Daphnia pulex: one gene and its partner. The protein of the gene in region 2 purifies or fractionates together with the protein of the main gene of each other region. This does not show direct contact. Links are inferred from orthologs where the notes say so. Each region holds a gene or a part of one and is shown on either strand. Other genes may lie near its edges.

What was found. Proteins that work in one complex are often made in the same cells at the same time.
Region 1: the proteins of DNA polymerase epsilon subunit 3-like (region 2) and bromodomain adjacent to zinc finger domain protein 1A-like purify together in Drosophila melanogaster (affinity purification with western blotting; 3 studies listed by BioGRID, with this or other methods). This does not show direct contact. The link is inferred for Daphnia pulex from reciprocal best matches to the Drosophila melanogaster genes Chrac-14 and Acf.

The regions. Positions count from the first base shown.
Region 1 is NC_060028.1:6,186,206-6,190,662, reverse strand, and holds part of bromodomain adjacent to zinc finger domain protein 1A-like, read left to right. Parts: coding exon 1-466; intron 467-534; coding exon 535-744; intron 745-800; coding exon 801-1,239; intron 1,240-1,331; coding exon 1,332-1,608; intron 1,609-1,692; coding exon 1,693-1,791; intron 1,792-1,851; coding exon 1,852-1,950; intron 1,951-2,019; coding exon 2,020-2,179; intron 2,180-2,243; coding exon 2,244-2,596; intron 2,597-2,660; coding exon 2,661-2,894; intron 2,895-3,506; coding exon 3,507-3,700; intron 3,701-3,912; coding exon 3,913-4,076; intron 4,077-4,147; coding exon 4,148-4,223; 3' UTR 4,224-4,457.
Region 2 is NC_060025.1:6,579,670-6,582,812, forward strand, and holds DNA polymerase epsilon subunit 3-like, read right to left. Parts: upstream 1,651-3,143; 5' UTR 1,503-1,650; intron 1,302-1,502; exon of another isoform or gene 1,279-1,301; 5' UTR 1,268-1,278; coding exon 1,082-1,267; intron 1,011-1,081; coding exon 926-1,010; intron 868-925; coding exon 671-867; 3' UTR 594-670; downstream 1-593. Other genes in the region: E3 ubiquitin-protein ligase LRSAM1-like, read left to right, coding at 1-248, 318-437. UniProt on the Drosophila melanogaster protein: Accessory component of the DNA polymerase epsilon complex. Participates in DNA repair and in chromosomal DNA replication. Histone-like protein which promotes nucleosome sliding of ATP-dependent nucleosome remodeling complexes.

The sequences.
Region 1 (4,457 bases), on a different chromosome or scaffold from region 2:
GGTATCAACAAAGAGGTGGATATAGTGCTGCTGATGATCCTGGTGTTCAGTTGCGTCAGGAAGATCCTCATATTCTACATGCCTTGTCTCACAGCACGGTATACGAATTGCCCGTCGGTGATAAAATGAAAGTTATCAAATGCCTTTGTCATCAAATACTCACATATGCATCAATAAGAGACATACTCGAAGAAAAGAGTACTAAATTAATCCATTTACGTCAAGAACTGAAAGCTCTGCATGCCAATGAGAGACGTATGAGAAAAGAAGATATCATTAATCGAGCCAAATTACGCTCTGAAGAGAACGGTAACACCGAAGATGGAACAGAGTTAGAAAGGTTGCTACAAGAAACTGCCAAAAGAAAAGGGGAGGTTCTCAAGAAGGAGCAGCAACTTCGCCAACAAATTCTCAGGATGACAGCCATGACTCATTTGGCACCTCTTGGACAAGATCGTGCTTTCAGGTATTTAGTGCATTGGTGTGGAATGAGACTAATCAAATCAAAAAACTAAATATTCATTTCTTTTTTAGGAGGTTTTGGGTTTTTGAATCACTTCCCGGGTTGTTTGTGGAACATGATGATGACTACGTTGGGACTTGTTTACCCGAACCCACGCCCTATTCCATGCCAAAACCAAACGGATTGCCGATTGATCCCAGCAAATGCAAAGAAGACATTAGGAAATTTTTTAAAGCAGCGAATAAAGAAAATGATATCTCAACCGAACCTGTCTGCGAAAAGTGAGTATTGCATTTCATTTTACATTTTATATTATTACGTATAATCATTTTAACAGTTCTTTGAAAATTAGGCCCAAAATTTTTGGTGTTTGCACTTCTAATCCGACGAACTGCCCTGTCCACGCCACCTACCTTTCACGAACAAAATGGTCATTCTATGAAAATGTCGATTTCGTTGATCAAATCCTACTGAGCCTTAATGAACGAGGGCAACGTGAAAGTGTATTGAAGAATGCAATGGTTCGAGAAAAGGAAAGAATCGTAGAAGGAATCACAAAGTGCTTTGTCCACCGTTTGGATAATTCAAGGCCTGAAGTTAAACTCGAAGGTGAAACTCGCAAATCCACCAGACAAATACGAAAGGAGAAAGAATACGATATCAACCTTTACTTTCCTGCCGGTACTCCCGTCGAGGAGATCATGGAGCGAACACTAGTTGATATGGTTCTTGAGACTGAAGAGAAAATTTTTGTTGGCGGCTTGGGATCCTTGAAGGTACAGTAGATTAAATGATTAATTTACATCAATAACATCTTTGTGTGTTTAAAAACAAATCCAATTTCATCTACATATAAATATTTTACTAGGTCAAAGACCGAAACGCATGGAGAACGTCTTTAGAAGAAAGGAAGTTTGTTTCGCAGGTTGAAACTCTAACTTGGGGTGGAAAACTGGAAACGAAGACACACCCAAAGCTTGAACACAATGATGCCGAGGATGAAGATAACCGCTCCGAAACAAGCTCTTCGGTGGAAGCAGAAACCACTGCTAATGCCGTTGCCAGAAAGTGCGTTGTGGATCTAGCATGTTCCTTACTTCAGTTAGCTCAAAGTGTCGAAACCAAGTATCTGAAGAAACCTCTAGGTAAGTCAGTATTTTATTAGCTGGATTTGGTTTGATTGAGATTTACTTAGTAGTCGAAGTGATTAATTTAAAAATTATTTTCAGGAGAAGATGAGAAAGAAAGAAAAAAACGACTAAAAGCCGAAGAAGCGATGAAAAAATGGGAAGACCACAAGGAGCCGGATCACAAGACGGATGCCAAAAGTAAGATAACGTCTTATGACATGTCATAACAAAAATAGCTGATTTTAATACTATTTCTAGCGGAACCGAAAACAGTACGAACGCCGTTAGAAAAATGGGAGTTGTCTCTACATGCATGCACGAGTTTGTCACAGTTGTACGTTCACTTAGCGCTATTAGGTGAGTTAGATATATATTTACGTATTTATGTGCAATATATATTCTACTAAATGCTTTGAATATTTAAAGATAACAGTATTACATGGAATCGCTCAGCGTTGAATGCTCGATGCCGTATTTGTCGTCGTAAAGGAGATCCGGAAAAGATGTTGCTCTGCGATGGATGTGATAAAGGACACCACATGTATTGCTTGAAACCTTTGCTCACCGTTGTACCAGAAGGAGATTGGTAAATTTAATAAGCGTTAACATGTTCGTTGAACTCATTTCAAATAACCTTATTATTATTCAAGGTTCTGTGCCGAGTGCAAACCCCGTGAAAAGCCTCGAACGCCTCGTAAAGCACGTCGCGTCTTTTCTGAAGAATCCGAGGACGAGGCTGTTGAAGAAGAAGAAGCGGATGCTGGCGAAGAGGAAGCCGAAGTTGAAGCGGAGGAGGGTGAAAGTGATGTAGAATCAGTAGATAATGAAATCTGCCCAGTTTGCCAAGAAGGTGGAGAGGTTATTTGCTGTGACACATGCCCAGCCGTCTATCACTTAGAATGCATCAACCCGCCTCTGAGAAAGGTCCCAAGAGGCAAATGGTCTTGTCCGCAGTGCAAGACACCTCCCCAGGATAGAGAAAGAGGCAAACTACGAGAAAAAAGTAGAAACTATTTCATGTGCTCTTCAATGTTAAGCTGTTACTATAATTTTTCTCTGTTGATCAGATTCTGACGGTCGGACCGGTTCTGCCCGAATCTCACGAACCCGTCATGCGATCGATTTTGATGAAGAAGTGAAGGATATGGGGAGGCATGCTGGTGCGCGTAAGCGTACGCAAACCGAGCCTGTACGATCCAAGTCACCCGCTGACTTGGCCCTAGGCAAACGCCGTTCGGCAGCAGAAGCTGTTGACAAAATTGCTCAATCCTCCAAGCGACTCAGAGGGGACAGCAACGATGGTAAGAGATTTCTTTACCGCAAGTAAACGCCTATTTAAATCAAATAACGAACACTACTACCGCGTTTCACGCTTCCTCCTACCGTGCACAACGACTACTTTTACTTCATCTTACCTTGCACAACGACTACTTTTTCTTTATATCAGTTCCCCCCCACTACCCCAGGTTGTTCCGCTCATCATCTTAACCTCTCGGCCTTGACTTTGACACTGCCTTGTGACGTACTTTTTTGTTTCATTTTTTGGAAGATGTCAGTTGTGAAGCCTCGCCGCTTCCTGCTATTTTTCGTAATAAAAGGATCAACCACTTTTACCTGACTGATTTATTTTTTCCTTCGTACAAAAACAATGGACTTGCGATGTCATTATAGGTTTCCCTTGACGACAAAGTAAACTTAGGTGTCTGTTCACGTCTAGTTAAAAACTGCTCGAAATGAAATTTAGTTCGGAACCCAGCTTTAATTTCAAGTAGATTCAATCTAATCAAGACACTAGATTTGCCGCACAAATTTCCTTATTCATAGCTTATTACCAAATCCCATCCTACAAATATTGTTACGACTGAATGTTTTGACGCCTGGTTACAAATCTTAAATTGTTCATTTCTATTTAGACGAAAGCGGTAATAGTGACAACAACAGCAAGTGGAATGCAGCAGCACATCGGAAAAGGAGTCGTCCATTGCCATTGCCTTCCGCAACTTCTCCTTCCGGGTTTGTTGACTTGGCTGATTTACTACAGCTATTGGCCGATTTGAGCAGTCATGTCGATAGTTGGCCTTTCCTCAAACCCGTCACCAGAGCAGAGGTAAAATATTGATAAGATTTATAGCCGTTTTATAGTTCACGCCAAGAGTTTGCCCTATCGTATTTCTCGTAACGTGACTTTTTCTGAGATCATTGTGACTGTAACTTGAAACAAATGAAACCGTTTCAAAGAATTCATAATTACGTATCATTTTCCCTATTCGTTAATTTGAAAATATTCCAGTAATTTGATTTGTGTGTAATTTTTCTCAGGCTCCGGACTATCATCATGTTATTAAACAAGCTATGGATCTTGGTACAATGAAGTACAAACTCAACAGTATAAAGTACAAGACGGCGGAAGATTTCGTCAAGGATTTGCAGTTGATATTCACGAACTGCTATACTTACAATAACGACGCTGCCGATGAATACAAGTAAGTTAATATTTCTTTTGATCAGCAGTTTTTAAATTGTTGGCTTTTACAAATGTGTTTGTCTGTACCAGATGTGGTCGCAACCTGAGTCGATACGCTGAGAAGCAGTTAGAAAAACTAGGTATCAAGATGATGCCAACGGATTAACATTTGAACCAATTTTCCTACAAATCCAACTCTCCCTACCACCCCCTAAAAAGTCATTCATTCGACAACCCCGATGGAAATATTGGATAAAACCGTGTCTCTTTTATGTTAAAATTCTGGCGACCGTCAATGGGTTGTCGATTGCGTTTCCAATTAAAACAGTAAGAAGTTCGGAAATTTGAATAACAGTGAAATACACTTGAAATCGATTAGCTATATGTAACAATGCTAAAT
Region 2 (3,143 bases):
AGCAGCTGCGTCGTAAAGATCTAAAACACCTCTTGGAAGAAATGGAAGTCCAGCGACAGAACCAAGCGGCCGACTATTGGCTTGTCCAGTATCAGCGTCTAATCGATAACATGCCTGATAATATTCAACATGCACAACAGTATCTTCCAAGTGCGCCTTCCTCTGTACTCGATGATGAGGAGGTGGCATCCGCTCCTCCGATGGAAGTTTTTATGGAAACTAATTGCGTCATATGCTTGGACAGTTCAGTAAGCTTACATTTATTACAGTTCAATTTTTCAAAACGAATTCATTCTAATTGCATTTATATTAAACAGTGCCAAGTTATATTCCTTTCTTGTGGACACTTATGTTGTTGTTCTGGATGTGGCAACAAGCTAAATCAATGCCCAATGTGCCGGGCAACCATCGTTAAACGACTGCAGGTTCACTCATAATGTTATTTATTTGCTTTTTAGCTTTTCATCGGTCATATCTTTGTGCCTTTGGCATCCTAAAAAAAATGTTTTCTTCATTTTTATCTTGTCTGTTGCTACTGTCGTTTCGAGACGTAAATCACACTTTAATTTTCACAGTATACAAACTATTTGAGGTCGTGTTTTTTTTTCTTTTATTAATTTTTTTGTCGTGCGAATACAAATTTTATCACACATTTTTTTGTCATTTAAGATCATTCATCCACTTCTTCATCCTCATTCTCCTTTTCATTTTCATTATCATTTTCATTGTCATTTTCATTATCATTTCCATTATCATTTTCTCCACCTTCATCTGATCCTTCTTCAATATCTTCCGGTTTTTTGTCGGATTTTTCCTGTTTCCGTTTAGCCATAGCTTCTTTGCGTTCCTTCTGTGCTTTCTTGTACACTGTAAAAGAAAAGAACATGTTGACATTCTAAAAATTGTTTTGAAAAAGAGAAATTACCTTCAAGAGAAGCCTGTAGTGGTTCAATAAATCTTTCAAATTCCATGTCAGCCATTGCTCCCAGGACATCCGGGCCACTGATGATCTTTATTTAACAAAAAAATTTTAGTAAATAATTGAGAGAATGGAACAAAATTTTCTGATTCTGTGATTCACCTTTCTGTTAGCTTTCATAGCCAGATTGTTAGAGCATGATGTGCAATAGAGAACAAATACAGAAGCAGCTTTAGCAATGGCGGTTCTAGCCTCTTTAGACACATTAACACCTTCTGGCAAGGATTCTTTTATGATTCTTGCTACTATTGAGTTGGGAAGGTTTAAGTCTTCAGGTCGTTCTGCCATTGCTTACGTACCTGGGAAAATCAAAACAAAATTCCTGTCATCAGCTAGATACATTAGTTGAACAAAACATATATTTCATCATATGAATTCTATTCAAATCAATAAAGAGAGAAAATGTCACTTATTATTTCAAATAATAACACCATTTAGTCATTTCCAAGAGATTTCTAGAAACTTTTTAAAAAATTAACTACACTTGTTACAAGATTTTCATAGGAAAAAGAAAACATCCTACCTGTCAAAACTTCTCCTACAATAATTTATTTCCGATTATACCGAAACCAACACTCCGACACTTGAAAACTTCAGATTTTTGCTGAAACAAATACACAGTCACAGTTGATGATTTCGATGTTGCTTCTGCTACAATAAAGGGCGGGAAAATAAGAAGTGCCAAGACCACATCGCCATCTGTGAGTAATATTCTAACCGTTTGCACAAATAAGTTTTTCGCCCCCGTTAGACCAGCAGTCGCGAGTCGCATAATAAAGAGGCGTATGATAAAGATAAATAATAATTTTTTTTATGTAGCACGAAGAAGATAAGCAGATCTTAATATATGAACAGACAAGATATAGGTTAAATATCAAACTAGTGAAATATCAATTTTATTACACCAATATTTAGTATTTACAGTACATTGTTGCTTCAGCAGCTTAGATTGGTTATTCTAACTTGAACCGATTTTGTTTTACTAGTATTATTTATTGTATCTTGAACAACACTTGGATGTTAAAACAAATCGACATGAAAATTTTAACAATCGTGATCACTTCTGTTCTTATTAGATTCAATAACGATTTTGACGGAATGGATGGAGATCACCAAATATGACGTACGCAAAAGACGGCAAAAGATCGTTAGACTTGTCGTTAGATAGTGTCAAGAGCGGCATGTGTAATAGGATAACAAACTTTCCTCCTTTTCGCCAAGCCACTCTACATCTCCGAGTCAAAGGGACCCAAACTTCCTTTAGCAGCCAAAAGTTAGATTTCCATCGATGCTAATCTTACAAGGGAATGACTGTTGTGTGTACCTGAAAACTTTTGAATGGATAATCGCTTGCTATACACCCGTATATAGCCTATAGGGAATAATAGATTGCCAAACGCCGAAATTACGAGAAGTTAGATTATTGATTTGCGACTCTAACTTTCACTTATAAAATTCGTTTCTCGGAAACCTCCTACCATCCCCAGTCGCCTACAAATCAGGTCATGGAATTCAAGACAAGTTTGATCCAAAGATATATTTTCAAATCCTACACAAAGTGTGAGAGTCGGGAATCAGAGAAAAGGCAGGATATGCCCCGGGATACTACTCATCCACTCCGACTCCAGGCAACGGATACAAAACTGATATACGCTGTGTCGCTGTCTACCATTGGCCCCTTCAGACCTACATCCGCCCACATCGGAAACTGTAAATCAGACGTGGATGGAAAAACAAAAAGTTGAAGAAATAAGTCTGACGCTCTTTTGAATGAGACGGATAAATGAACAAGTTTTGCTTACTCCCAAGTTTCTCTATAAATAAATAACAACAATTTAAGAAACAAATCTCTACTAAAATAATGGTTCATCTTTTTTTTTAAATAGACTAGGTAATCAAACTGTCTTTAATCATCGTTAATTTCATATATAATTTTTCCGATCTCAAAATTTTTCAAAGACATCAATCGCATCATTTTTTATCCTGTATATTTTTATCCGCGTGGGCGTACACCAGCAATCATCCCATCAGGATTTAACACGGGAGTTTTGTTTTTTGTTTTTTAATTTCTCATCCTTGACACGCGTGACAGACTTTCTTGTCAAAAAGTTTGACATGCGCTTTCCCGTTAACACATTTTGTTAGAGATCGGCCGTGTGAACTG